4 linked regions of the Rhinolophus ferrumequinum genome follow. The protein of the gene in region 1 interacts with the protein of each later gene in a pairwise test. Links are inferred from orthologs where the notes say so. Each region holds a gene or a part of one and is shown in the gene's direction. Other genes may lie near its edges. The genes, in order: CBX5, PRR14, INCENP and SUV39H1.

Evidence for each region.
Region 2: the proteins of CBX5 (region 1) and PRR14 interact in binary tests that used the Homo sapiens proteins (3 or more experiments, as listed by UniProt). The two-hybrid records come from large-scale screens. The link is inferred for Rhinolophus ferrumequinum from reciprocal best matches to the Homo sapiens genes CBX5 and PRR14.
Region 3: the proteins of CBX5 (region 1) and INCENP interact in binary tests that used the Homo sapiens proteins (3 or more experiments, as listed by UniProt). The link is inferred for Rhinolophus ferrumequinum from reciprocal best matches to the Homo sapiens genes CBX5 and INCENP.
Region 4: the proteins of CBX5 (region 1) and SUV39H1 interact in binary tests that used the Homo sapiens proteins (3 or more experiments, as listed by UniProt). The link is inferred for Rhinolophus ferrumequinum from reciprocal best matches to the Homo sapiens genes CBX5 and SUV39H1.

Annotation. Positions count from the first base shown.
Region 1 is NC_046293.1:54,025,659-54,033,145, reverse strand, and holds the start of CBX5 (chromobox protein homolog 5), read left to right. Parts: upstream 1-4,286; 5' UTR 4,287-4,443; intron 4,444-7,487. Other genes in the region: HNRNPA1 (heterogeneous nuclear ribonucleoprotein A1), read right to left, coding at 78-133, 391-546, 1,085-1,243, 1,458-1,532, 1,821-1,913, 1,998-2,090, 2,188-2,398, 2,527-2,673 and 2 more. UniProt on the Homo sapiens protein: Component of heterochromatin that recognizes and binds histone H3 tails methylated at 'Lys-9' (H3K9me), leading to epigenetic repression. In contrast, it is excluded from chromatin when 'Tyr-41' of histone H3 is phosphorylated (H3Y41ph).
Region 2 is NW_022680357.1:609,124-616,845, reverse strand, and holds the start of PRR14 (proline-rich protein 14), read left to right. Parts: upstream 1-4,686; 5' UTR 4,687-4,836; intron 4,837-5,639; 5' UTR 5,640-5,688; coding exon 5,689-5,711; intron 5,712-5,834; coding exon 5,835-6,003; intron 6,004-6,615; coding exon 6,616-6,737; intron 6,738-6,810; coding exon 6,811-7,000; intron 7,001-7,281; coding exon 7,282-7,325; intron 7,326-7,527; coding exon 7,528-7,637; intron 7,638-7,722. UniProt on the Homo sapiens protein: Functions in tethering peripheral heterochromatin to the nuclear lamina during interphase, possibly through the interaction with heterochromatin protein CBX5/HP1 alpha. Might play a role in reattaching heterochromatin to the nuclear lamina at mitotic exit.
Region 3 is NC_046294.1:8,945,868-8,953,466, reverse strand, and holds the start of INCENP (inner centromere protein), read left to right. Parts: upstream 1-4,327; 5' UTR 4,328-4,473; intron 4,474-7,346; 5' UTR 7,347-7,357; coding exon 7,358-7,497; intron 7,498-7,599. UniProt on the Homo sapiens protein: Component of the chromosomal passenger complex (CPC), a complex that acts as a key regulator of mitosis.
Region 4 is NC_046284.1:85,898,996-85,906,579, reverse strand, and holds the start of SUV39H1 (histone-lysine N-methyltransferase SUV39H1), read left to right. Parts: upstream 1-4,415; 5' UTR 4,416-4,521; coding exon 4,522-4,630; intron 4,631-4,931; exon of another isoform or gene 4,932-5,139; coding exon of another isoform or gene 5,140-5,158; intron 5,159-7,205; coding exon 7,206-7,351; intron 7,352-7,584. Other genes in the region: actin nucleation-promoting factor WAS, read left to right, coding at 419-474. UniProt on the Homo sapiens protein: Histone methyltransferase that specifically trimethylates 'Lys-9' of histone H3 using monomethylated H3 'Lys-9' as substrate. Also weakly methylates histone H1 (in vitro).

The DNA of each region.
Region 1 (7,487 bases):
ATTAGGGTTACTGGGTTTATTATCAATTGTAAAAACTAAGTCAAAACACAAAAAGGTGTTTACTTACCTGGCAGTAATTAAAACCTTCTGCCACTGCCATAGCTACTGCTGCTGCTGGAACCACCATAGCCACCTAAGAATAAAATTTGTTCCTTTAAACTTGCGAAGTGTCAATATAATTAACGCTTGTATATTTCAATCAACAAACTCCAAACTTGAGAATTTAAGCTTTTCAGTTTGATTGCAAAATACAAGTCACTATAGTATCCTGAAATCTTCAAATTGTCAGCTTTTGATTGCCTACGCAGTATCACCTAAATACTTAATATATTCTTTACTCATTTGTTATAGGTACACTAAGCCTTCCAATACTATAAACACCTATTATACCTTGGTTTCGTGGTTTGGCAAAGTATTGACCTCCACCACCATAGGGGCCAGAGCTTCTGCCTCCAAAGTTCCCTCCTTTCATGGGTCCAAAATTTGAAGATTGATTGTTGTAATTGCCAAAATCGTTGTAGCTTCCACCACCTCCAAAATTGCTTCCTAGGAATGGAAAGAGGTCCTTTATCTGTTACTTAACAAAGACAACTGTTCTGAATTCTAGCGTTCAGAGTGGAAGTCACATGACCTGCCTGCCTTCCTCCCAAACTGATGGCTCCAATGCTTGATTGTATTTCATCCTTTCTTGGCAAGGCATTCAGTTGAATAATCCAGTATTTTAAAAAATTTACCCAACTCACCACGACACAGAACATTCTCTAGCCTTTGAAGGCCTTTACCCATTCAGGGGCACTGCAAACATGCTGGATACATCAACTAAGTGCCTAAAGTCCCAAAGATACTAAATGCTGCTAGAAGCTAATCTGATTCCAGCTGAAGATGCCACTATCCATTTATTCATCTATTTGGGAGTGAGGCGGCCCCAGCTTAAAGCCAGGAGGAGGTAGCACAGCAAGTCCATTAAAAAATACCATGCAGCGTACCACATAATGCTTTAAGAGCACCAAATCCCCATACGGGCACAAATTCTACAAGGCTAATCTAGCTACTGCACCAAGTACCTGGATCACTGGATACCTACCACTACCACCGCCAAAGCCGCCTCCGCCTCCTCCGTTGTTATAGCTGTCATAGCTGCCACTCCCGCCATAGCCACTGCCCTGGTTTCCATAACCCTGTCCACCACTTCCATAGCCTCTGCTTCCTCCAGAGTAACCAGGGCCGCCTCCTCCATAACCACCTACAAGAATACAATTCTTCTCAATAAGACAAAAGTATTCAACAATCAAAATCTGTTTAAGCATAATGGGTAACAGCCTGGTCACATGCTGTTATAGTCAGAGTTCAGCTTGTCATGCACTAGTTTTAGTCTCTACTAACCTAGTATAGACTATAGGTTACCACAAACTTTCCACCCATGTATTCCTAAAGAAACAAAAACCACACAAACGTACCATCATTACCAAATCCATTATAGCCATCCCCACTGCCACCATATCCTCCTCCTCCACGACTGCCTCCAAAGCCACCTGGAAGAAAGTGGAGTTTTAAAGCAGGTTCGGAGTACGTGCATCACATATAATTATAGCCTTTCAAGTCTACTTCAGGGAGCAGTTCCTGTACTACTAAAATGATTTCCACACCAAAGATTTTAACTTCTGATTAGCAGAAACCAGAACTACATTTGGATAAAACTGTAACTTTAGAAATGCCAGTCAGTAGTTACATAGAGCTGCAGGTTGTAAAAAGCACAAGTCAGGCAGGTAATTACATCACAAGCTTACCCTTAATTCCCAATAAAGCAGAACCACATGTACCTCGACCACTGAAGTTTCCTCCACGACCAAAGTTGTCATTCCCACCAAAGCCACCTCCTCGACCACCACCGAAGTTTCCAGAACCACTTCGACCTTAAGAAGAGATAAGTGTTAAACCACAGATTGTAATTGCTCAGTTACCTTTATTTAAGGTTTAACTAAAAGCAACAAACCCACCTCTTTGACTGGATGAAGCACTAGCCATCTCTTGTTTAGATAGGGCTTTCCTTACTTCACAGTTGTGGCCATTCACAGTATGGTATTTCTGAACTAAAAAATTTCAACAATGAAAAGGGACAATTCTCAGGGTTTAGAGAAAGATATGGATTTCAAACCCCTTGGTAAATACCAGTCATCTGATACTCACTGACAATCTTGTCTACAGAGTCATGGTCATCAAAGGTTACAAAAGCAAAGCCTCTCTTCTTGCCACTGCCTCGGTCAGTCATGATTTCTATCACTTCAATTTTCCCATACTGTTCAAAATAATCTCTTAGGTGATGCTCTTCAGTGTCTTCTTTAATACCACCGACAAAAATCTTTTTCACAGTTAAGTGGGCACCAGGTCTTTGAGAATCCTAAAGGAAAAATCCAATTAAGTGACTTACATCAGCAAAATCAGTATTAAAGTTTGCCAACATCCCTGAACGTAACATCCACCTAGTAGCACACTTCTATATGACTAACGGAAAGAAAAAACACTTACTTCTCTTGAGACAGCCCTCTTTGGTTCCACAACTCTTCCATCCACCTTGTGTGGCCTTGCATTCATGGCTGCGTCCACCTCCTCCACAGTGGCATAGGTGACAAACCCAAAGCCTCTGGAGCGTTTGGTGTTTGGGTCTCTCATCACCTGAGATATTAATTCATTTAACACATATTAAGACTCCAAGAACTACTGTCATTTCTACCTTGGATAAGGTAGCAGGAAACTTTATACTAGCCCTCATACAAAGCCCTTCAACTTAATCTTACCCATCTAACAAATCTATTTACATCTTAATCAGTTAAAGCCTCACCTTCCCTTGCCAAGTTACTTCCAACTATAATCCTGTTAGCAATCTTCAAAAGCATTCGGACAGTAAGTATAACAAGATAAGCCAATGAAATCAACTAGTTCCAGTGCTCTTTTGTCTCTTCCAGGTCTTACCACACAGTCTGTGAGCGTTCCCCATTGCTCAAAATGGCTCCTCAGACTCTCATCGGTTGTTTCAAAGCTCAAACCTCCGATGAAGAGCTTCCGCAGCTGTTCAGGCTCTTTGGGAGACTAAGAGTGGGGGGGGAGGGAAAGCGTTATGTCGGTCTGTATCGCAAAACATCTTCCAATTAAGAGAAACGAGACAGCAACGTACATAGCACTTATTGTTCCAGAGGGTCGCAGCAAGCCACGTGCTTCTCCCCATTGGGGAGGCTCTATGTTGGGGGCTGGGAAACGGCGAGCGCATGCGCCCCTACAATCCCTCCGACGCACGCGCCAACAAAAGGTCTGGGCGGGAGGAGTGCATCGCCAATAAGGGACCACAGCTGCTTAAAAAAAAAAAAACTCGCCCACTGAGACGAGATAAAAATCGTTCACTGTGCCTAAGAGTTTTACCAGGAGGACCAAACCCGGCGTGATAACTAAGGGTTGCAGAACGGCGGCCTCATGGCGACGACGAGGACAAAATGGCGACCTGAACTTCGGGAGGGGTAGGCCCTGGCAGTGACCGAAGAACTGCCGAATGGGCTGGCGCAAACAACCAATCCAGGCCGCATCCAACCCAACTCAGAAAGGAGCGAGGAAGAAAATTAAGTTGGACAGAGCATCTTACCTCTGACTTAGACATGACGACCGCGGGAGGGGTGACTTTAACGATGCTTACTCGGCGGCGTCCACCGACAGAAAGGAGTGATCTAACGAACGTATCTGCCAGCCTACCTTCGGCCTCGCTGTTTTATCCCGCCTCCTCGCTTACGGCATTGGTAGACTCCGCCCCTGAGTAGCTCTGACTGGATATTTGAAATAGCTTCCTGCTACTATTGGACTGTGGTGCCGCATTGCTGTGTAACGTCATCCGTTTGGGCGTTCTACGTAGTCTCCACCCCTTGGAGTCCATTGGTTCCCGTGTAATGTTACTCCTGACTAGTGTGATTGGCTAGCCAACCAATCATTCATATTTGAACATCCTGAAGGTATTTGAATAACTTTTTGGCTCTCCACGCCCCGAATATTACATTCTATTCAGTTGTCAATTTATGATTAATGCAGTGTATTAAAAAATAGCATATTAATTTTATTGTTTGCAACAACCGCCTGCTGAGCGCATGTGTAGTAAAATGGCGAGTTTACGCAGGCGCAATAAGAAGTTCCGCTTGACTCTTGGAACACGTGAAATGGCGGGCGGGAGACGGCGGCGAACCTACAGCGCCTGCGTTGTGGCGGGAGTTGTGCCTCGTTTTGCGCAGGCGTAATGGGCGGAGAAAAAGGTCTGGTCCCAGGATTGGTCGCGCAGGCGCAGGGAAGGATCCGTTTTGGCGGGCGGTTGGCGTTGCGCAGAAGGCGGCGGCAGCTGTGGCTTGTGGTCCGGCCTCACCACAGAAGAACAGGGAAGACATTAGCGTGAGTGATCGGTCTCGATCCCGGGTAAGTGGCGGACAGTCTTGCCTACCCATACGAGGTCTTGAACCGACTCCAAATGGGCCCGTTATTGTGTGAAATGAATGGACCGCGGGGTGGGGGCTAGCGGAGGGGGAGCGGTGGGTCCGGCCAACCAATGGAAGAACAGGGGCGGGATGTTTTATCCCTGTAAGTTCTGTGGAGCTTTGCCGTCTAAGAGTTTGACTGGCGAGTGTATAGGCCAATTGGGTCTGCCTTTAGCTGCCGACTGATCGGTCCTTGGGCCATCGGAATGTGGGAGGCGGGTTTTCCCCTTCTGAGCAGCGTCTCACTAAGCCAATGAGCACGAAGCGCGCGGTAGGTTGGGCTCCTCTAAGAGGCAGCGGTTTGACTCCAATGGGAAATGCGGGAGTTGGGCGGTAAAATGGATGGACCAAATCTGGAGCCAGTAGGAGGACAACCTACTGAGAGCGCTCTCCCGGGTCGTCCAATCAGCGCTCCAAAAGACGGAGGTGCTGGATTTGTGTTGATGAGGAAAGGGATTCAATGCCTGTGATGGCGCTTCGGGATGGATATTTTATCCACTATGACTTTTCTAACGAAGCCTTTAGGCCTCCATCGCATAAGCCTCCCTGGTATGGAAACGATACGTTTGCTCCTGTGTACGTCGAGTTGGGCATCCCCCCGCCCCCTCCAACACACACACATCAGTACATCCCACCATCCACCATAGGTTTTGGGGGGAGCAAGGAAGAAGGTCTTTTGACTTTGAGAACTAGCTTCTTTAGGAAGACCGACTTGAAATGTTAGAACAAATAGAGATTGTACTGTCTTGAAAAGGTGCCTGAGGAATATCTACGTAATAATACATATTTCCACATACAACTCGATATTTGTAAGTCCATAGAAAAAGTTTTGGAAAGCTACAGACCAAAGTGTGTTACCCCCAGGAATACAGTGGCATTGAGGCAGATTAGATCTCTAATGTTTAAATCTTTGCAGGGATAATAATAATTTGTGATTAAAATTAAAGTCTGTTGATTTAGGGTGTTGGGGACAGAAGGGCTCATCCATCACCTGGGTTAGTTCATTGCCTTTTGATTATATTTCCTTAAAAGTGTTTATTTTTAGATGCAGTCCATTCCCTGTTGGTAATGCCCATTCTGCTTATTCCAAGATTTTTACTAAAATACAGAAATTTTCATTACATTTTGGCTGTATCAGAATATATACTGCTTTACTCACTGATGTATTTATTTAGAGTCAAGGGAAAAAAATCTTTGAATACTGCCGTGAGTTCAATTGCATATGAAGTATCCTTATGGTTAGAGAACATTTCTGACTTATAAAAGGTGATTTTAGTTGAGATATGAACAGAGAGATTTCCATGTTCTCTGGCACTTCCCAAAGGACAAACCTATTTCACGTTGTTTATAAAGTATTTGTAGGTATGCTCAAAATGCGGCTCCTTAATTTTTAAGAATTAAAAGGATATAGGTTTGAAAAGAATAGTCTTGATCTACAGGGTTTCTTAACTTCAGCACTATTGACATTTCCTGCAAATGCATCTCACCTCTCACCCCCATTTTTGACAATCAAAATGTCTCCTGACACTGCCAGATGTCCTGGGGGTTGGGTGTTTGGGCAAAATAATCCCCAGTTGAAAACCATTGATCTAAACTGACATGCTAGAGTTGATTATTTTGTCAAAATCTTTTACCAATTGGAAATTAGAGGGAGAAGATGGGTGGTGATGTGTTTAGGAGGTGGTTTTTAGTAAATGGATTACTAAATCCTAATGATTATCTCTTCAGATATAGTGTTCCATTGGATAGAAGGAAAATTTCATTAAGGTGTTTACTATTTAAACATGTTTGATTGCATCTTCTGTTTGGCTTTCTAAAATAATGGCAAATACGTTTTTTTAAAAAGATATACTTGCCTCAGATGCTTCTTACATTTTCACCTGAGTTAAGCCTCTTTCCTTTATTGGGATTCTTTTTTTTCTTTCTTTTTTTTTTAGATTTTATTGGAGAAGGGGAACAGGACTTTATGGGGAACAGTGTGTACTTCCAGGACTTTCTTTTTTTTTTTTTCCAAGTCAAGTTGTTGTCCTTTCAATCTTAGTTGTGGAGTGTGCCTTTCAGCTTCAAGTTGTTTCCTTTCAGTCTTAGTTGTGGAGGGCGCAGCTCAGCTCCAGGTCCAGTTGCTGTTGCTAGTTGCAGGGGGTGCAGTCCACCATCCCTGGTGGGAGTCGAACCGGCAACCTTGTGGTTGAGAGGATGCACTCCAACCGAGTCATTCGGGAGCTCAACGGCAGCTCAGCTCAAGGTGCCGTGTTCAATCTTAGTTGCAGGGGGCGCTGCCCACCGTCCCTTGCGGGACTGGAGGAATTGAACTGGCAACCTTGTGGTTGAGAGCCCACTGGCCCATGTGGGAATCGAACTGGCAGCCTTTGGAGTTAGGAGCATGGAGCTCTAACCGCCTGAGCCACCGGGCCGCCCTTTATTGGGATTCTTTTGGATCAATGTCTCAAACCTTTTTAGATGTTGACCCTTAATAAAAAATATATTTTATATTGACCCTGTACACACATTGAAACAAGTTTCACTGTACAAATAAATGTGCAAAGCACTCTTGACATTTTTGCATCTACAGTACACTATTTCCTTTTTTTAAAAATACAGGTCATTTTCTGCTGAACTGATTTCACAGCTCTGTACAGATCCACAGTTTAGTGAAAAAAGAAAAACAACTGGTCTAAAGAATAGGTAACTAAATTATGCCGCCTTAGATTATTCTCTGTGTGAGATTATTCCTCCCATCTTTGGCCCCAGCTACTTGGATTTATAAACAAATTAATCAGTGAACCCTTATTTGATGTCTGATATATTTTCATTTGAAAGATTTCAGGCTTTGAACATAGAGTTCTTGGTTTATTGTGGTGTGCAAGTAAAAATTGCTTGTTTTACTGTGAATTCTCTTAAAATGTCATAATAGGCATGATGAACATTTCTCTGGTGGGTAAATTTTAGTGGGTAATTTTTCATTGAAACTCTGAGACTATCACG
Region 2 (7,722 bases), on another chromosome or scaffold:
CATCTAATAACTGTAGTGATAAGAAAAACAGCAACCCACACACTGTGCCAGGAATTGTGCAAAACACTCCAAATGCATTATGTCATTATTTCGTTAATGTAATTTAATCTTCCAAACAACGCCCTTGAGGCTGATCACGTCACTTTCCGAACGGGGGCGCTCAAGCTCAGTCCAGTAAGAAACTTCACGGTAACACAGCTGAGCCAGTAATAGAATTCAATGTATCCTACTTTGAACCCATTATGCTATACAGCTGCTTCTCAATACAGCAATTGCTCAAAAATATCGAAGTAATTAAAATTTTTTTCTTTCCTTTCCCCTTTCCCTTGTGCCCCCTGCCCCTCCCCCCAAGCAAGAGATGGTCTTTTTACTTCCAGAGGTTCACAATGGACCTTCATTCCATAATTAACTCCCTTTACAGATATGAGGCACAGGACTTGTGATGGTCTTATAATTCAATGGAAAGAGCTTAGGCGTTAGGAGTCGGGGAAACTCTTGAGCCCTGCCCCCACCTCTTGGCAGCTGTATAAGGTAAGCACGTTACTTCATCTTGATGGTGTGCGTTTCTTTGTGAAATTGGGGTCATACTATCTACCTTACAGACACTGTCACTGAAGTTTAAAGGAGTTAACCGTACGTGTGGGTCTTATAGTAGGCAGTTAATTCAAGGGAGTTATTATCTGAGGGAGATGGAAGTTGCCTACCAGGAAGAAAGCTGTTGGTTTGTAACCTGGGAAATATCCCAGGTGAAATCTGAAAGTGGTCCTCATACACCAAGGGCAAGGAGAGACCGAAGGCAAGAGGCAGACCAATCCAGATGGGTAGGTTTAATAAGGCAGGTTTAATAAGTCAGAGAACTTATTTACAAGGCTTGTCTTGGGCGACCCCAAGACAAGTGGATCTCTGCCTCCACCTGCCAGAATCTTAAAATTTTATAGAGAGGCCTTAATAGGGTTCAGCCAGGTATCCTGTCCAGGTGGTCTCAACAACACATTACTCTCTCAATGCCGTATCGTTGAAAACAGCTCCCACCGTGGGACTGGCAAGCAGAACATACCCTCCAAGGAGAGGGGAGGCGGTGAGGAGCCTCTCATTGCCTGGGTTTGGTTCGCAGACCAACCAATCATCATGTCCTCTTGATGACCTCCTCCAACAAGATGCTCCTATCTTGAAGCAGTGAGAAAATGCCATACATACATAATCTTATTCTTGGAGAAGTCTTGAAGGTTGGGGGTATGGTCTTCACCTGCTCTTCTTCAGCTCTCATCCCTTGAGGCCATTCAGATATCTCCCATTCCTAAATCCCTGGCGCCCCCACCCCTTACTCTCCTAGGCTGACTAACCTAGACTTCCGGAAGATATCTCTGGATTTGGATCTAAGAACTGAGACCCAAGCTCTTTTGGCTGCTTCTTAATATGTATCTGGATTTATTTGTTTGTTTATTTTACCACTGAGGGTGGTTCTGCTGATGCTTAATCAGAGCTTGTAGCCAGGAAAAATACTTGAGACCTTTGAGAAAGACGTGAGGCCACTTCTAACTCACTCATTTGGGTGATGTCCTGTGAGAGCTAAAAAGGGCCCTGCACTTCATGAACAGTAGTGAAACATTATTGGGTACTGCCTGTACCAATACTGCTTGTATTGAGAGGCTAATCAGCAACTAGGCTGCTAGAGAAGCACCAGCCACACTCTGGGAAGAGGCAAGGCCATGCACCTCGGGTGCAAATCCAAGGTAGAGTTTGCAGAAAACTCAGCTCCAGTCAAGGCAACATTCATGGAGTCTGCAGTGGGGGATTAACACAGACTTGGATGGAGATTTCGGGTTCAAAGGCGTCAGGGCATCGTTGAGTGCCAGGCCCTGGTTCTCTGTCTCAGGGTGAGGCACCTGCTCTGGCACTGGTATCTCTATCTCCCAAGGTTTCTTGACTTCTATGTTTCCTTCCCCTTGTTTACTGATGGAAAAGAGGGAGAATTTCAGGGTTGTAACCAGTTTTAGTCCATGAGGCTTTTCACAGTTCTTGGAGGGGTGAGGATGAGGGCCATGGGAAAATTCAAAGATGTGAGTCAGAGTTCCCCTGGATAGTTGATTTAAAGAGGTCCCCAAGTCCCCATACCTGGCTCATAGTTCTATCGAATCCTGGGCCCACTGACCCCTCACCAAGAGTCCCTCTTGTCCATGGGGATTGATAAAATGCCTCAGTTAGGGGCATTGCTATGCTCCTGTGAAAGGTCTTCCCCCCACACTCCTTGCTAACAACAGGAAACCTCTAGGAACTCCCTCGGATCAGCCCAGAAAAAAACCAGGATTCTGAGATCCTCAACCTGTGGAGAGAGCTACTGAGCAGAGCAGCTCTCGTAGGGACCGGAAGGCACAGGATACTCATACAGAAGAAGGGGGAGTTATCATCCTCTTTCTACCTGTAGCCTGAGACTTATTTATCAGGCACACTCAGCTGTGTCTCCTCAGTTGATCTTGACCTTCCAAGTCTATTTTGAGATAGGCATGACAGGGTGTATTGCTCTCATTTTACAAATGAAATCACCAAGGCCAGGGAACAGTTAAGCAGGTGGGAGACCCAGAGTCTAAAGGGGCCCAGAGTTTCTGAAGAATGAGGTGCCCTAACACCAGCCTCCAGCCACATCACCAGCTGGAGGCCGTGTGGGGCCTCTGGCCACTGGGTTAGCACACACTGGCCATGCCCTAGGGTGTGTACACAGGTGGGTAAGGTAGTAGTTGTTGAAATGGTAGTCACAGAGGACAGAGTAAGACCGTGAAGCTATGAAGGCTTGCAGTTGCTGGCCTGGACTGAGGCCAGACACCAACTTGGTGTCTAGAACTTCAATTTGATGAACTCCAGCATCCGTTTGGATCTCAGGGCTGAGCGCTCCCTACCAGATTCTCAGGCCCAGGCCCTTTCTTTAGACTACTTCCTTTGCCCTTGGTATTGAGTTCTTCAGGAGACCTAGAGAATTGAAACTCAGATCAGGCACGCTTTGCCCTTGAAAGCTTTTCTCTCCTTGGGGCCTGGGAAGCACCTGTGTGTTTAAGCAATTAAGTGAGAGCCTACATAGCGCCTCTCAACACACTGAGGTTGAAAAGGGTCTCCAAGCATTCAAGGCTGGATGCGCCATACCCCAAGGAACGTCCTGAGGCTCGATGCAGCCAGCCCTGATCCAGGGGAGAGAAGTCACCTCTATCTGAAAGAGCTACCTACCGCTTGCGTCCTCCAGAAGACTCATCATGGGGTTCCATAAGACCCAGCAGGCTTTGGGTTACAGAGTAGCTGTAGTCCTGGGAGAGCTACCCTGATGGGTCTCCAGTGTTGGGGAGGTTTCGCTTTCCACACCTACTCTTACTGATTCTGCTCTTTCCATATCATCCTTTCTGTGCCATTTCTTTTATCACTCAACCCTCTAATAGACAATCATGCAGAGCAGGGTAGGTCACTCTGTACCTTCATATCAGATCAAGAATTCTAGGCTTCAGGCTCTCTTGCATTAAGAAAATAAGGACTGGGCCAGCCTGGTGGCTCAGGTGGTTAGAGCTCCATGCTCCTAACTCCAAAGGCTGCCGGTTCGATTCCCACATGGGCCAGTGGGCTCTCAACCACAAGGTTGCCGGTTCAACTCCTCCAGTCCTGCAAGGGATGGTGGGCTGCGCCCCCTGCAACTAGAGAAGGCAACTGGACCTAGAGCACAACTACGATTGAAAGGACAACAACTTGGAAAAAAGTCCTGGAAGTACACACTGTTCCCAAATAAAGTCCTATTCCTCTTCCCCCCAAAAAAAAATATCTTAAAAAAAAAAAAAGAAAAGAATAGAAGGACTGGTTTGGACCAGGGACTCCCAGGGAAGGAGAACTAATGGAGGCACGGGCTTTGGTTGGGCAGTGAAGGCGCCTTCACCACGCAAGAGGCCAGGACATACCCACTTCCTTCCCACCAACAGCCCTGCTCCCGATAAAAATGCCAAGCTCCAGGATTCCATCCCTGGCCCGTAACTACTAAGGACTATTTACACGCCCACCAGGCTGGCCTCTCTTGAAAGAGGGCTCGTGGGAACGTGGAACAGAGAAGAAAGCGAGCACGCCAAGTTGGTTATTGGTTTCCTGCAATGACGCCCCTATATTGAGCCCTCTGCACCCGCCGCAGAAACTCCCACTCCTCCAAGAAGAAGTGCACAACACTCGGGTAAAGGGAAACTCGGCGCCCCCACTTTGCCTCAGCTCAGCCTCTCCAGGACACCGCGCGAGCGACGGGGTCGGGAGGGGCACTCCCCTAGTCCGGCCCTCGCCACCCTCTCCCTAACTGTTCGCTGCGACGTGGGTACCCGGTTGAGGAACCCGGGGTGGTACCGGAACCGGCCTCGATGGGGCCTCTCTAGGAAATTGGGAATTTCACCTATCGTTAGCGCTCAGTTCTTGTTGATTGGCCTAAAAGCTAAAGAACCGGAAGATGCCCTTAAAAAACGTGGCGACACTCTAGCTTCGCTACAGTTATCTCAGTAGCTCGAGAAACTTGGCATAGTCTTCGGCCGCTGCCTGGCCTTAGAAGGTGACGCCACCCGGTCCATTTCCGTGCCTTGAGGACGGCGCTATCTGCCCTCAACTATCATGGTGGCACAGCCCAATTGGGCGGTTTGCCCCTAGGGATGATGGCTGCCAGGAGGCTTCACTTCATTTCTCACCACCCAGGAAGACGCGGGCCGCCGATTGGACGCAGTCCGGAGGCTCCGAGAAGAAGGCCTTCAGCGGTTGGGCAGTGTTGGGAAAGGCTGGTTTTAAAGGAGCCGCAGGTGGGAGCCGTCGAAGACCCGGGATCCGCGGGAGGCGGCGGTGAGCGGCGCGCGGGGGAGGGAACCGAGCGGCTGGAGAGAGGGCGGGAGGAGGGAGGGAAGGAGTCGTTTGAACCATCTGTTCCCGGGCTGGGGAGAGCCCTGGGCGGGGATCCTGGGAGGGCAGAGGGAGGGGGTCTGTGGGCGGGACCTCCCGGGATTGGAGTGGAGGGCTATCCGCTTGACAGTGGATCCCCGGGGATCCGGACTGAGTTCGCGTTGCTCAAGCTCGGTCTTCCCCTGGCTGAGCGGAGCTTTACGGAGCCGAAGCTCACAGGGAGAGGAGGATCCTCGTGCGGCGTCTGATTGGCGGAACCGCGCTGGAGGATTCTTTCCTCTTGGATCCAGTCTAGGGGATCTGGCGGGAGGGGGAAGTCGTCGGCGTGTGGGAATATTGCTTCAGAGCCCTTGGTCGCTCGCTGGGAGTGGATGAGGATCGCGGAGGGATCTGGTGGAAACTGAGCCTTCCAGGACCGGGATCCTAGCTGATCCCGGGGAATCTCAGGGCGGAATCTGCAGGGACAAAGGCCCCAGGAGGCTCCGGCCGTGGCAGAACTGGGGCTGCTGCAATCCAGGTTTTCCTGGCAAGTGCCCAGAAGTGCGCGAGTGATCCGCTGATCGCGGCGGCGGCGGCAGCGGCTGTGGGAAGACACCCGCTCCGGACGGCCGACCGAGGGCGCCCTTTCGCGCCCCAGGTCTCCGGCCCGTGGGCTACCGGGAGCTGCGGGTGGACCATGAAGGGCAGAGCCCCAGGGGAAGGGCTGGCCCTCACTCCCCACTCCTCCGCTCCCCACCCTACCCCAGGCTGCAGCCTGGGATCCCCCAGGGACTCCCCGAAGCTGCCGCTTCCCCCATGGACTTGCCCGGGGACTCCAGGTGAGAGTGCACCCCGCCAGCCTGTCGTGAGCCCGGGAAACGGGGAGCCTGGCGGCCGTACAGGGGAACCACAGAGCCAACGACAGGCTTGGGCAACCGTCCTCTGCTTCTCTCATCCTCCAGCCCGCCTGGCCAGCCACGTCTATGCCGCCAGCCCCTGGCTCGAGCATTATGGGGAGCCAGAAGCCCGAAACGGGCGAGGCTGCAGCCCGTGGTGGCCCCTTCACCCTTGGAAAAGGCCTCTCGGCGGGTCCTGGCCGTGGTGCTGGAAGATGTCATGGCTGCCCATATGGTGAGCCCCCCGAACTGAGAAGCCCCTTTCTCAACCCAGTTCCTCCTCAGTACCAATTAGGCCAGATCACTAATGAGGATAATTGACTTCCAAACACTTCATTCTCACACCCGTCGCCCAGCCGGCCTCCATAATGCTAACGTTCTGCTTGGCTCTCTTAGTCCCTCCTCAAATTGGGCGGGGTCTCCAGTGCCCATTCCCCACGGCCAAGCCAGTGGGGCTGGAACCTCGTCCCTACTACTCTGGAAATACGAGAAACGCTTCTGCTTGCTTCCCAGCCCAACTTTTAGGCAATCCTTGGGAAGCAGACCGAGGTCATTGGCTCCATTGTACAGATAGCAAAACTGAAGTCCCAAACAGGGCTGTGACTCACCCAAAGTCACCTTCTTTTCACACTCCAAACAGCGTGGGTGAGATGATCCAGGTCCCACAGCTGCAGCTCACAACACTAATATCTGACCCCCAATTCAGTTTGACTCACCTCTTTGGGGATCTTGAGTGAATTCTAGCCACAACCTCTGTCACCTTTGTGGCCTAGGACACTTAGGCACAGGGAGATCCTGTCCAGTCCAACTCATTCCCTCATCTTACTCTTGACACCTTGTCTCCTAGGCCCCCCTAGTGCCAGGAGAGGAGACCTCCACCCCACGGCACCCCGCCAACTGTCAGGATTCTGTCCGAAACCAGCCGCCTGCCTTGCCACCCCAAAAAGCCATATGGTTGTCCCAGGCCAGGTGAGCATGGCAGGATTTGGGGGGCAGCTGGGGACACAGCAGAGCCCCTCTGATCTGTGTGTTCCCTCTCCAGGCCTCCCGACCCCCTGCACTTATGCCGAGAGCCCTTGAGCCACATCCATCGGTCTCCTTCCACTCTGAGGTGTCGATCACAGCCAACCCCTGGCCCAGACGAGGGCCCTTCACGAGCGGTGGACGGGGGCCCCCAGCCCACTCTGGTGGTGATGCTAGAAGACATTGCCAGCCCCAGACCCCCAGCTGAGGTATGGGAACTTCGGGTGAGGATGGCAGGGGTGCAGCTGGGGGCAGGCACTCAGCGGGTGTAGGAGACAGGTAGGAGGATTGAGTCCTGGGTGGCCTTTGCTCAGAGCCAGGAGGACAGCAGGTTAGGCAGAAGACACTGCTGGAGCAAAGACCTGTATGAAAAAGTCTGTGGTGTGAGCCCAGGCGGGCATCTGAAGACAGAGACAGTCGGGATGTGGGAAGCTAGGGAGGTCAGCGGGGCTTCCCTGCCTCCCCACAAATACCCCCTTTTTACATCCAGGGCTTCGCCGACAAGGCTCCCAACTTCATCGTCCCAGCCAGAAGGTGAGACGGCTGGGGAAGGAATTATTAAGATGTCCAGGCAACAACCATTGTCTAGGCAGCCAGAGCTAAGGGCCTCAGAATGGACTTGTCCAGTTGTTTCTTGTAGCACCTTCAGAAGGCTTAAGGGACAGGGGAGGTGCTGGCTCAGGTCGGATCTGGACCTGGAAGCTCCCCCAGCCTTTATCTTATCCCTTCACTCCAGAGCTGAGTCCGTGACGATGGTGAACCAGCCAATGCCTCCGCCCAGGGACCTGGAACCCCCATTCCAGCCATCTTCCTTGCCTGCAGACCCTCTGGAGAACCCATCGCCAGGTAAGGACTCAGAGACACGGAGGAGACTTGAGGCTCTGGAAAATCCTAGCTGAGCTTCTAAGTGTCAGGTGCAGAGGTGGGGGTG
Region 3 (7,599 bases), on another chromosome or scaffold:
CTCTACTCCTATTTTACCCGCTGCAATTGTAACACATCTTAGAAGATTCCACTTCAGGTTGTACTGAATTCCTGTTTACTCAACTTCTTTGAAAATATGCTTGCCTATAGTTGTTTCATACAGACTATTTATAGAGGCTAATTCCTCAGTCACGTCAACCTCAGCATGCATTCCTCAAATAAACAATAACTAGCAGTATTGGTGACATCTGACAATGCATAAGAGCCAGGCAAAACCACTAAAAATCATTTGACTTGTTTTTTAATCAACTATTATACTTGTTTACTAGGGCTGCTGTAAAAAATTACCACAAACTTTGTAGTCTAAACCAACAGAAATAAATTCTCTCATAGTTTTAGAGTCCAGAAATCTGAAATCAAGGTGTCAGCAAGGCTGCATTCACCATCGAGGCTCTAAGGGAGAACCCGTTTTTTGCCTCTTCCAGCTTCTGGTGTTTGCTGGCTTCCTTGGTTTGTGGTCACATCACTCCAACCTCTGCCTCCATCTTCATTGAGAGCCATTTTTTTTTGGCCTGGCATAACTGCTGATATTGCTCCCAATGCCCTCAAGTCTTTGAGCAACTGTTCTCACCACAAGGCTAATATTTTTAAATAAGTTTATTTTCTTTGCTGCAATTAAACACGATTTAATTAATTCACCCAAGTTAGTTTTCCTTGCTTGGTTAACAAATGAGGCACTAGGAAACTTACTTTGGTTGCAGCCAAATATTCATTTTTTAGTTTTATGAAAAAATTCTGCTGTGATGAGATATAATGCTTTAAATTTTCTATTTTTCTGATCATTGCTGATCATATGGAATATTCACTCCAATCATTGGGAATATTATGATGAGTGCTGAAATAATGCTGATGTGTACTGTGCTATTTTAGCACAGCTTACTGTCATTACATAATAAACACAATGCTTTGCCATCTAACTGGATAACAAAATAATTCACACTTTGCTGTGTCTTAAAAGCACAACATTCTAAATCCAGTTTTTTTTTTTGTTTTGGCATGAAAGGTATGCATTGGTAATTCTTAAAAAATGTGGTACAATTATATGTGTGGTACTTGAAATGATGCTGAGTTATAACGCAACACTGTAACTTGTAATGTGCCAAGCAGCAGTGCAAAGCGAGACTGAAGCTGGTTATGACAGTGTTGCTGGTAGTCTGTACAATCCTTCTTAAGAATTTTATGGAGCCCTTGAGGGTGGCCTTTGTGCATCAAAAAGGTGATTCAGGAGTGACTGTTTTCTTAATATATTCAATTTATTAAATCATAAATATGAACCAAACAGAAATTCTGGAGCTGAAAAATACAATGACTGAAATGAAATGTGCAGAAAATAGCCTTAGCAGCTAAGAAAGAATCTGCTAACTTGAAGACACGTTATTTGAAATTATCCAGTCAGAGGAGGAAAACAAATTAAAAAGAGGGAAGAAAACCCATGGTATTTATAGAACATCACTAAAAGAACCAATGTATGCATTATAGGAGTCTCAGAGAGTAGAGAGAGAAAGGGGCTAAAAGCTTATTTAAAGAAATAATGGCTTAAATCTTCCCAAATCTTGGTATGGAAATGAACATCCAAATTCATGAAGCTCAAAAAATCCTAAGTAGGATCAATCTAAAAAGACTACATCAAGATGCATTATAATCATTGTCAAAAGTCAAGGACAACAGAGAATTTTAAGAGCAGCAAGAGAAAAGTGACATCACATACAAGGGAATACCCATAAAACTATCAGCAGATTTGTCAGCAGAAAACTTGCAGGCCAGGGGAGAATTGTATGATATATTCAAAGTATTGAAAGAAAAAATAAAGACCATATGTGAAAATCCCATAGCTAACATTATAATCAATGGGAAAAACTGAAAGCTTTCTCTCCAGGATTCAGTACAAGGCATGGATGCCCACTCTTGCCACTTCTTTTCAACATAGTATTGGGAAGTGCTATCCTGAGCAATTAGACACACACACACACAAAAATCCAACTCAGAAAGGAAGGAGTAATTTTATCTCTGTAGATGATATGATAATATATGTAGGAAACACTAGAGATTAAAAAAGAAAACAACAAAACTGTTAGAACTAGTAAACAAATTCAGTAAAGTTGCAGGGTACAAAATCAACATAAAAAAAAAAATCAGGGACATTTCTATACACAATGAACTACCTGAAAAGGAAATTAAGAAAGCAATACTATTCAAACAACTATTATAGCAACAAAAAGAATAAAATATTTAGGAAAAACTTAACCAAAGAGGTGAAAGACTTGCACACTGAAAATCATAAAACATTGATGATGAGAATTTAAGAAAACACAAGTAGGGGCAGCTGGTTAGCTCAGTTGGTTAGAGGGCCGTGCTCTTAACAACAAGGTTGCTGGTTCGATCCCCACATGCCAATGTGGGCTGTGCCCTCCACAACTAGATTGAGACAACTGCTTGACTTGGAGCTGATGGGTCCTGGGAAAACGCACTTAAATAAATAAAAGAAAAGAAAAGAAAAGAAAAAGAAGACACAAACAAATGGAAAGGCATCTGGTGCTCATGGATTGGAAAACTTAATATTGTTAAAATGTATATATGACCCAAAGTGATCTACAGATTTAATGCTATCCCTACCAAAATCCCAATGTCATTCTCTACAGAAATAGAAAAAAACAATGCTAAAATTCATCAGGAACCTCAAAAGACCCCAAATAGCAAAAGCAATCTTGAGCAAAAACAACAAAGCTGGAGGCCTCACACTTCCTGATTTCAAAATAGATTTCAAGGCCACTGAAATAAAAAATCATGGTATTGGCATAAAAACAGACACATAGACCCATGGAACAGAGTAGAGAGCGCAGAAATAAGCAATCAACTAATCTTTGATGAGGACACCAAGAATACACAGTGGGGAAAGGATAGTCTGTTCAATAAATGGTGCTGGGAAAACTGGATAACCACATGCAAAAGAATGAAACTGGACTTCTATTTTACACCGCTCACAAAAACTAACTCAAAATAGATTAAAGACTTAAATATAAGACCTGAAACTAAAACTCTTAAAAGAAAACATAGGGGAAAAGCTCCTTGACATAGGTCTTGGCAATATTTCTTGGAAATGACATCAAAAGCACAGGTAACAAAATAAAAAGTAGACAAATGGGGTTATCCAACTTTAAAACTTCTGCACAGCAAAGCAAAGAATCAACAGAGTGAAAACACAACCTACAGAATGGGAAAAAATATTTGCAAACCATGTATCTGATAAGGGGTTAAAATCCAAAATAGATTAAAAAAACAAAAAACTCCTACAACTCAATCACAAAAACAAAAAATAACCAAATAACATGACACAAGAATGGGCAAAGGACTTTTTCTTTATTCATCTATTGACCGGCATTTAGGTTTCTTCACCTCTTGGCTATTATGAATAATGCTGCAATGAGCATGGGTGTGCAAATACCTCTTGGAGAGACTAAACTGCTTTTTACACGTGATGGCAACCTTGACTCACAGAGTAAAGTGATTGCCTGAAGCCGGGTTTCTCAAGAGCAGTGATACTGGCATTCTGGGCCGGATAAGTCTTTGCTGTATGAACTGTCCTGTGCCCTGTAGGGTTTTCCGCAGCATGCCTGGACTCTACCCACTAGACGCCAATAGCAACCCCCCCGCCCCAACAAAATGTGGTCATTCATCACCAAATATGGGGTAGGGGTGGGGCGCAAAATCGCTACTCCAAACAAATACTCGGGATCAGTACAGGGGGCAATCCTGGTTGGTGCCGCCCAAGAGATGAGGTAGGGTTCTACTAAAATACAAACTCCGGCGCGACTTACAATGCGTTTCCTTTTTACTTCTCAAAAGTGGCAGAAGTCGTAAGGATGTCATCCTGTATGGAGCACAAATGTGGGTGAAGTAACAGCACAGCTGAAGACTCGCAGGAAAAGTCTGACCTCCAAGTCTACGATTCCCGCCCCAAGGACGCGCCTCCCACGCCCCGCGGGGCCTTCGCAATGCACGCTGGGGCTTGTGGTTCCGGCGTGAGAGGGCCTGCGCGCGCACCCCGCCTGCCTGCCCCCCCCGCTCCCCCCGCCCCCCCCGCCCACCCGCGACAACCTCCAGGCTGCGGGCTGCGGCTCCCGGAAGCTGAGCAAGTTAAAGTTTCAACGCTTCCTTTCCCCGCTTCTTATTCCCGCAGACTGCCAATCCAAGCAGCCAATAGGGGGCCTGACTAGAGCTTCTTTTTACCTGATTGGCTTAGAGTTTTGCAGCCGCCCAGACAAACTTGCCGGGGATTGGTCAAGCCTTCAGTTTTGAAAATCGTAGGTTTCGCCCGCGCTGTGAGGCCCCATTGCTTCCCAGGAACCGTGAGTCCCGGAGTTCGGAAGCTGAGGATCTGGGTGGGTGGGGGGTTCTGCTAGAGAGGCGGCCGGACTTGGATCAGAGCAGCACTTAGGAGACGCGGTGCAGTCGAGTGAGTGCGCTCGGGCGGCCGGCGGGGGTGGGGGATGGTTAGCTATTTGTTACCCCTCTCGACAACCCCGGACCGTGGGCGCGACCCCCCGACCCCACTTTCGGCCTGGGAATGGACAGGTCACCACTGCCACGAGTCGAGGTGAACAGCCTTGGCCCTGGAGCCTAAGATGCTCTTCCACTTAGGTCCCCAGGTTCCGAGAGAATAACCTCGTCCCCTCCCGGTGCCTACCCCCTTTGTACCTAGAAGGCCCTTTGTTGACCTGGACGCGCAGGAAGCGCACACCGACCGTGTTGTGTGATGGAATTATGCCAAGTGGCATTTCTGTACAGTTAACCCTCGCCCAACACCTCCCCCTCCAGCTGAGCAGCGTTTTAAACTGACCATTTGCAGAGGCCAGTGCTGCCCCTTATCCTGTCACTCCGCAAGCAGTTCGCTGTCAGCATTCAGTTCTGTTCAGTCACTGTGGCCTTCTCTGGGGGGGTGCCCAGAGTCAAAACTTGGCGCCGGCCTTTCTGAGGCTGAAATCGAGTAGGCAGCTTAGCTTGTGGTTAAGAGGACCGTTTAAGTCTCGGCCCCAGGTTGACTTTGAGTTACCGTCTCTTTGCCTCAGTTTCCTCATATGCACATGGGTATCCTTGAGGTTGTGGTGAGAATTAAATGTTGCCTGGCCTGGGCATGGAGTAGGACTCGGTAAAGGGGAGCGGCTATTATGACCATTCTACACTGGGGTGTGGTAGAGGTTAGGTGCCCAACTTCCTGCATCCTTAAAAGAACAGGCGTTGCAAAAAACGGCAGTGGGGCCTCTAGTCTGATGTACGGTGGGAGGGAAGTATTGGGAGAGACAGATGAGCTCCCTCCTCTCTTGGTGGGATGTTGGGTGCTTGGGGTTTGTGCACAGGTTCTTACATGGGCCTCAGTCTTGGTACACTGGTTGCTCCTTTGTCAGGGTCACCTTTGTCCTAACTTTGGGGACCCCTTTTAAAGCTGAGGTCATCTTCCCTGTGGAAGAAGCCCAAACACTTTTTTTTTTGCACTTGACGAAAGAAGCTCTCACTCACTTTGCCGTTTTGAACAAATACTTAATAAAACCCCACACGACTGCTTTCTGTAGCTCCTCTTCGAACCTTTGTTTTGGTTTTGGCTTCCTTAATCCGTTGTCTCTTTCTTGGCCTCAAACTGGGGTCCTGCACTTTGCCAAGGCTGAGCTCTGGGGCAGAGGGGCTGGAGGGAGCCAGAGGAATGGCAGCAGAGAGGCCATGCCCATGAGTGAGTGGCTGGCTGCAGAGCTGTCGCTGTCCAAAGCCTCTGCAGTCCTGCCCATGGGCCCTGCCGTGGTTAGTGCTGCTCTTGGCATCTAGGAGCAGGACGAGTGTGGTGTGCCCTAACCTGTGTAGAAGGAGCTTATTTGGTGTCCCTGTGTGTGGGGGTGGGGTGGGGGAGTACCTGTAGGATGCTTATTTCTAGTGTAGAGTTGATAGGTGGATTAATTCATTCAACCAGTATTTCTTTCGTGCCAGGTACTGTGCAGCTACAAGCAAGACAGGCAAGGGCTTCCTCAGGGAGCACATGTTTAGGGGGCAGAGATAGGCAGTAAGCAAACACCCAAGTGCCGTACAGAGAATTGGAATGGATGAATGGGATCATGGTGGGTGGTCAGGGCCTCCCTGAGTTGCTGAGATCCAAGTGACGAGGAGCGAGCTGTACAAAATAGGAGACAGAAGATTCCAGACAGGGCAGCGCTCGTTCAAGGAACAAAAGTGGTGCACCCTGGAAATCAGACCCCAGGAAGTCTCAGGAGACTGCATCCTGGCCTGGTGTTAAGCTCTATCGGGTGTCAAGGGGTGACTTAGCCCTTCCAGGAGCTTCCGTCTTTGGTGGGAGGCTGAACTTTGTGTGGTTCTTGGTTTAGAAGGGGTGGTAGGTGATTGCCATGGCACGAGACGTGCAGTCTTATTATGAGTTATGACCTTCAGCCATTCACTTGTTCTTTCATTCATCCACCCAGTCGGAATCTTAACCGCGACCCTGCTGTGGCTGTAATGGAACGCTTCTTCCTTGCCTGAGGCTTTGGTGATGATAGTATAACCAGGTCTTAAGGAGGATACCTGAGCTGCATGTTTTTCAGACATTAAGAGAAAACTCGTTTTGTATTTACCCCTACCCAATGTTTATAGATGAGTTTTCTTAAAAATAAGACATTGCTTATCCGTTCCCCTCACATTTACTCATCTATTTCTAGGGCGTGTCAGCTCAAGGGAGAGGATTGTGGGGTCCCCTCGGACAGGAGCATGTCTCCCCTACTTTCTTACTGACTCCTTTGGAACGCAGAACCCCTTCCGTTCACTGGCCTCTTGAAGAGGCAGTTGGATTCGATGTTCTTTGGCCTGAGGCCTGGGGTCAGCTTGTATGTAGCTCAGGGTAGTTGTAAGTCCTTGGTTACCCACAGGGAGGAAGAGGAGAGTCCACGGGAGAGTAAGAGCAGGAGAGTAAGGAAGGCAGTTGGCCATGCCTTGTCATTTTGAGCCTCAGAAAAGGCCATTTGTAAGGAGGACGGTTGATACCAGAATTGGGTGGGAGGTGTGGACTTACGGGGACAGCGTGCTGTGAGTGGGTAGAGGGAAGACGTTTGAAGAGTGTGAGTAGAATTCTTCTCTTATGGGCCCTTATTTTCGCAAAAATGAGGCTAATGGATTGGTACTTGGAACTCTGCATCTCTGGGGAATGGCTATGGACCGGGCTGGCCCTGATTCAGGCACTGGGGGTTTTGTGGCGATAGGGGATGGGTGCTATGGCGTGGCAGGCTCTTCTCCTGGAGAAGGTTCCAGTCCCCAGCCCTGAGCCCTTGTCCCTCTTATCTCTACTCTCACCAGACAGAGCCACCATGGGGACATCAGCCCCTGGGCCCATTCACCTGCTGGAGCTGTGTGACCAGAAGCTCATGGAGTTTATCTGCAATGTGGACAATAAGGACTTAGTGTGGCTCGAGGAGATTGAGGAAGAGGCTGAGCGCATGTTCACCAGGTGAGGGTGGAGGCGTTGGCGGGCCCCTGGCTGCTGTGGCCTTGGGGACACAGCAGTCTACTTCCCCACCTGACAGGCAAGTCAGACAGCTAGGCTGCCAGG
Region 4 (7,584 bases), on another chromosome or scaffold:
CAACACTATTAACCTTAGCCCGCTATAAAACAATAATATTGTAATTTAGTCCACTTTTGCTAATAATATTTAAATTCACCCCATTAAGTGACAAACGTGTTAACATTAACCCTTTGTGTGACAATAATATCCTAACTAACCACACATTTTTTACAATAAATACTAACTTCAACTCCCACTAGAAGCTGGACCCCAATAATAATCCCTATCTTGTCCCAAACAGGAACCCTAACTCTCCCTCCTCTGAGGAGGCCCCATCCTCATCCAACACATGGGTCCCAGATCTGATTTCCTAGCAGGAGACCTCAGCCCCCCAGGGCCCTGAGTCCTGATCTCCCGGGCCCTAGGAAACCCCTTCCCCCAGGGCTCTCGAGCCCTCCTGCTCATCCTGAATTCCACTCTTTCTGTCTCCCTCCAGACGAAGGGGAGGACCAGGCCGGAGATGATGATGAGGACGATGAATGGGATGACTGAGTCACCACCATCCCCACCTGTTCTGCGCGCCCTCACCTAGCAGCCCCTGCTTGCTGCTTTCCTCTCTTGGCTTCCAGGCTCCCAAGGTGTATTTCTTCCCCATCAATCCTTTCAATGCTATTACCTCTGACTGGCCCCCACACTCACCCTAGTGGCCCTTTTTATACAAAATAACCAGGGCCCTTTTTATACAAAATTTCTCCTCACTCAAGGATTTTTAAACAAAAATAAAATAGCTGTCTTTCTGTTTCTCTAAATCTCCGTTTGTATACATTCCACATGTGGGAATTTGGGGTCCTTTTCACCCAAGGTCCCTTTTACTCATCTATCCCATTTCATTTACTTAGCCATACACGTATACAATCCATTCATTCATTTGTTCTCTCGGTCATTTTAGCCTTTGTTTCCTTCTGCCCTTCTTTCTTTCCATAAACATTTATTCCCAGGCACTACTTTAGAGACTGGGGATAAAGCATTGGAAAAAAAATGACTAAAATTCTTGCCCTAGTGGGACCAACATTCTGGGGATGGACATTTTAGGGGAGGAGACAGAAAAGAAAGAAAGAATCAGATGGAAACCAAAGATAGTTACAGATCATAAGTACTACATGCTGAGGAGAAATGACATTTAGATAACAGTACTCAGGGAAAGCCAGTTGGAGGAGTAACAGTTATGCTGGACCTAAAGAGAGAGGAGTCAACTAGGGGAATACTTGGGGGAAGGGCATTCCAGACACAGTGAACAGCTAGTGCAAAGGCCCTGAGGTGGGGAAAAGCTTGGCATGAGCCAGGTGTGGTGAATGAGTGAGAGTTATTTATTCATTCACTTACATATTTTTAAAAAACCATTTAATCAACACAATACTAGATCAAGAGAGTACTAGGTGGTCAGACTTCCCCACTCTCCATGTACATAACAACTCACCCAGGATCCTGATGGGCAGAATCCCCCTCTCAATATTAAAATTTGGTTCTGCCCAGTCCCCAGTGCAAACCAAGTCTTAGCCAATGACAATGGAAGAGGCAAAAACTTACTAATCAGATAGATCTGCTCTAGAACCCAGGCAAGATGCCTCACCTCTGAGCCTCAGTTTCCTCATCTATACAATGGGGGTAACAATATGTAACAGATTTCCAGCTTGGATCCCACTGGGTCTCCCCTTCTCCTCCTCCAGGACTTGCTCTCCAGAAAAAAAAGGAGCAACTCAAAACTGTCCCTGGTGTTTAAAGCTATTTCCAAGGGAGTAATGACAAACTCCTGTACATTAAAACCTAGGATTCGCGGTGCCTACTCCTTCCCATTTCTGAACCTGGCGGATTGAAGATCTCAGGTAGCCTAACTTTAGAGGAGGAGGAGGTGAGAGGGGAGAAAGATAAAGGTGAGGAGGAATCCAGAGAGGGCAGGCTTCTTCCACCTGCGAGATGGAAGGTGCGGGTTGGAGGGTTAGGGGAAGAAAAGAAAAAGCCAGGTGGTGGGGGCAGCTGGGGTGGTGAGGTCGGAGATGTGGCTTTGCCCCATAAGAATTCCCCTAAAGCTGGGGAAGCTGGAGGAGGGAGTCTCAGGTTCCCTTTAATTCTTTCATTATTCCTCACCCTTCACTCAACTTCCCACCCATCCCGTCCAAGTCTCCAAGGTGAGCATTGAGTCTAGGAAGGTCCTGTCATATCACTTACCCCCACCCCACCCTTCTGGCAAAGCCCTAGAAATCAGTGTTCGAGGACCCCTTAGGCAGGCTTTGTCCTAGAAAACTTTACAGCACACAACTTTTGAATCCCCAGGAGCACCAGCTAGAGCAGGCACAGACCTGGGGTAAAAGAATTGACTGTGGGCAAGTTGCTTGACCTCTCTGGGCCTGTTTCCTCAGTCCTTAAAATGAGGATAGAAAAACTTACTTCACCAGCTGTGGCCAGAATTAAAATGGATGGTATCTGCTAAGTGCCTAGCTCCTTGTAGGCATCTATATATAAACATTAGTTGCTGCTGCTGTTGTTATTCCTGGGTGTCACTGATCCTGAGTCACCACTGATTATAAAATGCACCATTATTTTCTGTATCACTAAGAAAGACAAAAAGTACTGCCAATTAAATTATGACACACCAGTGCATGAGAGATGCAGCCTGATTTTAGAGATGTTAAAAAACAAATTAAATGCTTCTGGCGCCCTGGCTGGCGATGACGTTCCTTAACCTGCATTCTGGTTCCACATGTATGTTTGCTGCTGAAAAGGCACAGAGCAGGCACAGACCTGGGGTAAAAGGCACAGACATGGGGTCACTCCACTGGTCACACATGGTCTGTGTACTCTCTGTATGTGTGCTATACTCCAATATGGGATTTACAACAAAAATAGGTCAAATTTGTGTGGCATGTAATGAATAAAACCCTGTATTGGCCCCAGCACTGGGCAAGGAAATATACACACTAGGCAGTAATTAACACTAAACAAACAGACACATGGTTGGGAGTAGGACACAGTAATAACAGTGTGGCCTCTTTTGAGGTATCCTGAAAGGTGCTAGTCTTTTTGAAAGATTCATTTACCAGGTTAGCAGGAGATACCCACTCCAAGGTCACTCATCTGAGGTTTTTTAGATGAAGAAACTACCTAAGGTCACACAATTTAGTAAATGGTAGAGTTGGGATTTGAACCCAGGTCATGGGGCTAGTAGAATCTAGGCATTTATGCGATATTCTTATACTATTTGGGGGAGGTCCAAGGGAATGCTCCCCAAAGACCCCCACATCACCTCTCCAGATTCAGACAGAAAGAGGTCATGCTTTAAACCATTCTCATGGGTTGGGCAGGCCTCCTGGACTCCTCAGAGTGGGAGGGTCCTGCCTGTCTGGAAAGACTAGGGGCATTTGATGACCGGCATCTGACTCTCTTCTAGGAGGAATAAAGGAGGGAAGGGGAATCCATGGTGGGACTTATGCTGTTGACTGTTCCATTCATGGCAAGCAGGAGCTGATGGAACCTTTCATTTCTCCAAGCAGCTCACAGCTGGACTGGCAGGCAGACAGAATAACCATTTGGTTAACTGTATAACCATTTGGTTGACTACATAACTTGTGGGCCAACAGGGAGAGGGGCAGTTTGAGGAATTGACAGTGTGGTTTCCCTATGCTGTGCGGTACTGAATATCTAACTGAATTACAGCCTGCCTTGGACTGGCTGGGGCTGGTGGTCCAACAGTGTAGAAGACGGGAAGTTTCCTGAGGGACTGACATGCTGGCTGACTGCTGACACATGGTGTTGTTGCCCACCTGGGTAGTGGGACGCCGTGAATGGATGACTACTGCTAGGAATCACACCCCGCTCAAGGGAGTGTTTGGATGTTACGCTGCCTGGCAATGTGTAAAGGAGGGCTATCCTGAGGGGATTTCAGGCTGACCCATGGACAGGTCTGTGGCTGTCTGATAGGCACCTGTCTCTGGTGACTGACTATCCGCCCTGACCAAATCACAGCACGCTTGACAGACCAAGTACTCAGTCGGTGAGAATGGCTACCTGGCTGATGGACAATATGATGAGGGGCAGACTGAACGAGTCACAGGCTGGCTGACCAACAGAAAGATCAGCGTAGCTGCCTGACTCGATGGCTGTATGAGGTTAGAATCACAACTGCCCGGATGGGTCAGAGGATACTGACTGTCCAATGGAGGGCATGCCTCCCTGAGAAAGTACAGACTGCTGACCCACTGACAGGTGGCGTGGAGGCTTAATGTTACCTTTAGTTGCTGTGACTATTTTCTCTGAGGGAATCACTGCCTGATCATAGTGGGAACGAGGGCAGAATGACAGTCATTGACAACTAACAGTGGATAGTGTGACTGCCTGACAGAGCTACGTGAGATGCTGACAATGCCAGCCAGCCTGGTCAGACCTAATCGCAGCCTGCCTGCAGGCATGGCTGGTGGTTAGGGATGCCTGAGCCGGGTGTGAGATAACTTCCCTAGGGGGATTCAGAGCAGATGCCAGGCAAGGATAGACGGAGAGACTGATGTTTGAGTGACTGCCAGTGTGAAGAAGACACAATCTCAGGCAATGACAGAGTGGCTGACTAGCAGTGTAGCTGTTAGTAAGCACTGTATGTCGGCCTCAAAGGACTTGCCGCTGGCCCGAGAGCACGGATGGCTGTTGCTGGTGACTGACGGTATGAAAGGGGGCGGGGTCTGACTAGACAGTTGTGGTGGCTGACCCATTGTGTGATCTGAGTGGGAGCTGATTTGAGACTGAGTAGCAGTCTGGGGCCATAGTTCACCCGGGAGGAGAGTCACGGCCTGCTCGGGGTTAACATGTGGTGACGGGCTGCCTGACGGTGATAATTGGGGCTCTGACAGCACAGAGGATCCCCCCCACGTCTGGCTGACTGACAACGGGATTGGCTGACAGCGTGACAGACAGGCTGGTGGACAGTCAGAGCCTCCAGCTACCTCCGCCGCCGCCACCGCCCAGACGCACGCTGGGAAAACGCCGGCGAGCACCCGCCTTCGAGACCGAGCAGAGTGGCGGGAGGGGTCCGGTCACGGCTTGCCGGTTGGTCCGCGGGGGCGCTGCTCGCGGTACGGCACGGCCAATAGGCTGCGCGTTCTCGGCCACGCCCGCGCGAGCTCTCTTCTCGCGAGGCCGGTTAGGCCCGAATGTCGTTAGCCGTGGGGAAAGATGGCGGAAAATTTAAAAGGTGAAGCAGTGGTGGCAGCGGCGCGGGCCCGGTGGCCGGACCGGGTGGGCTGGAGGGGTCGCGTCGCCGGCTCGGGGCCCTGGCGTCCGAAGCCACGGATCTGAAAGCCCGGCGCCGAAAGGCTGGGGCTCTGGGAGCGCGGGCCTGGCGCGCGCGGGGCTGGGCGGGGCTGAGGGGAGGGGGCGCGTGCTTCGGAAGGCGGTGGGCGCGGGACGAAGTGGGGACTCGGGAAGGGGGCGCGCGCCTCACATCGCGACCGGACGGCGCGCGCACGCGCGGGGGCTTGTAGGGGAGGCCGCGCCCGCGCGCGGGAAAATCAGCCGTCGGTGACCGTTACCCGCTTGGTGTCCACGCGAGACGCCGGAAGGGGACGGACCTCCTTTTCAGAGTGGGGGGACAGGGGAACCTTGGGGGGGGAGAGTATTTCCTCTTAGCCTGATGGGGGAAGGGTCTACAATAGAGAGGACTCCCCCAGGAAGATGGGCAGGGGGCTTCCCGAATGGGAGAGCTGGACTCCCTCGTGTGCAGGGGAAAAGGGGTGACTTTGTCAGTATGTTGGGGGGTGGGCTCCTCTGGGTGAGGAAAGCTGCGGGAATAATGGGTTCCACAAGTGTGAGGGGGACCTCTGCGGGGTAGGAGAGTCCACCTGTGGTCAGTGGGGCACCAGCAGCTGGAGATGTGAGCTGGGACCACTTTAGTGGGGTTTCAAATGCAAGTTAAGGGGTTTGAAAGGGAGAGACGTCACAGGGAGAGGAAAGCGTGGGCACAGGCCGAATCTCCACTAGGCCTGCCTCAGTGTGTGGGGGGAGTGCACACGAAATAATTTTGCAAAGCTCTTGTACATTTTTAGACTGACATCTAGAGCATTTCGTCATGAGTTTAAATGTTTGATTTTTGTAATGGGAGGTAGAAAATACTAACAGGATGAGGACTGACTACATTGGAATAAGTGTTCTGTGAAATGATCTCATAAAATGGCTTCTAAAGCACATTAAGAATGTGCCTTGAATCTTTGAATCAGAAGGCTTTAAACAAAAAAATCTGTCTTGAAAATTTTTGGTAACCCCAGAAATATTTCAGGTATGATTAAAAGCATTATTGTCCCTAACCTATTACTGTTTTGCTTATTTCTGAATTCCTTTGGGCAAGCTTTACCCTTCACAGAAATGTGGATGAGACAGAGAAAGTCAAAATGCAATGTGAAAAAATATACTGTGTGGGTTTAAGGCACCCCGACTAATCCTTAAGGAGGCTTCCTGTAATCTAATACCACTCCACAATCTTATTCATAATTCTGAAATCCAAAAAGCATTGAAAACTAAAGTTTGGCACCATTCAGTGGAAAAACTAGACTGTAAGGTGGAACTATTCAGCGCAGCTATCTTGCATCTTTATTTCTCCTATTTAGTGTGAAAATTCAGACTCTTGCTTCAGAATTATTAAAGTGCTTGATTATGGCTTGAAGCCCCTGACCACACTGAGGGTGTTAGGTAATATATGGGAAATACCTGAACTACACTTGTAAACAAACAAACAAACAATTTCAAAACACATCTGGCCTCAGGGATTTTAGATCAGGGATTGTGGACCAGTCTTTCCCGTAGGTTTGTTGCCCTGGAAGTTTTAACGCCATCCCATCTAGGCCCTTGGGCCACTGCACCCTACTGAGGGGGTGGAGGGGTGGTTCTTTTGCAAAGTGTGGAGGAGGAGGATTAGGTCCTGAACCTTAGGCAGGTTTTCAGGCAGGTTTAGGAACGGTATAGAGGGAGTTGGAAGCTCTGGGAATAAATTCCTTTAGGACAATCCATGCAGCAGGTCCTCCCTTGGGTCTGCCGCCAGGAGTAGCCTTGGACAGTGAGCCTTGCGGTTGAAGGTAGTGACACATTTTTGTAGTATATAAAGGTCTTAGCGTTGGGAAGGCCTGTGGATTAAATTTCACTGACTCTGAGGCAGTCCTTTGGAAGTGCCAGGAAGGATTTGGGGTACCCTTTGACCCCTGGGCTCGCCAGGATGCCCAGTAATTGTTCTTCTGGCCCCCTTGTTTTAGGCTGTAGTGTGTGTTGCAAGTCTTCTTGGAATCAGCTACAGGACCTGTGCCGCTTGGCCAAGCTCTCCTGCCCTGCTCTCGGCATCTCCAAGAGGAATTTCTATGACTTTGAAGTCGAGTACCTGTGCGATTACAAGAAGATCCGCGTGAGTCTGGGGTGACCGTGGCTGGGGCTGGGGGTGTCTCAAGGAAGCTGGCTTCCTGCCCCCTTACCCCCCACTGCCTGCATCTGTTTCCGAAGGGAATTTTCTCTGTCTGTCTTAGTTTCCGGTGTATCAAACAACACAGTGATTAGACATTTACACCCCTTATAAAGTGATAACCCCGACAAGACCACTACCCATCTTGACACTGTACATAGCTATGACAATACCGTTGA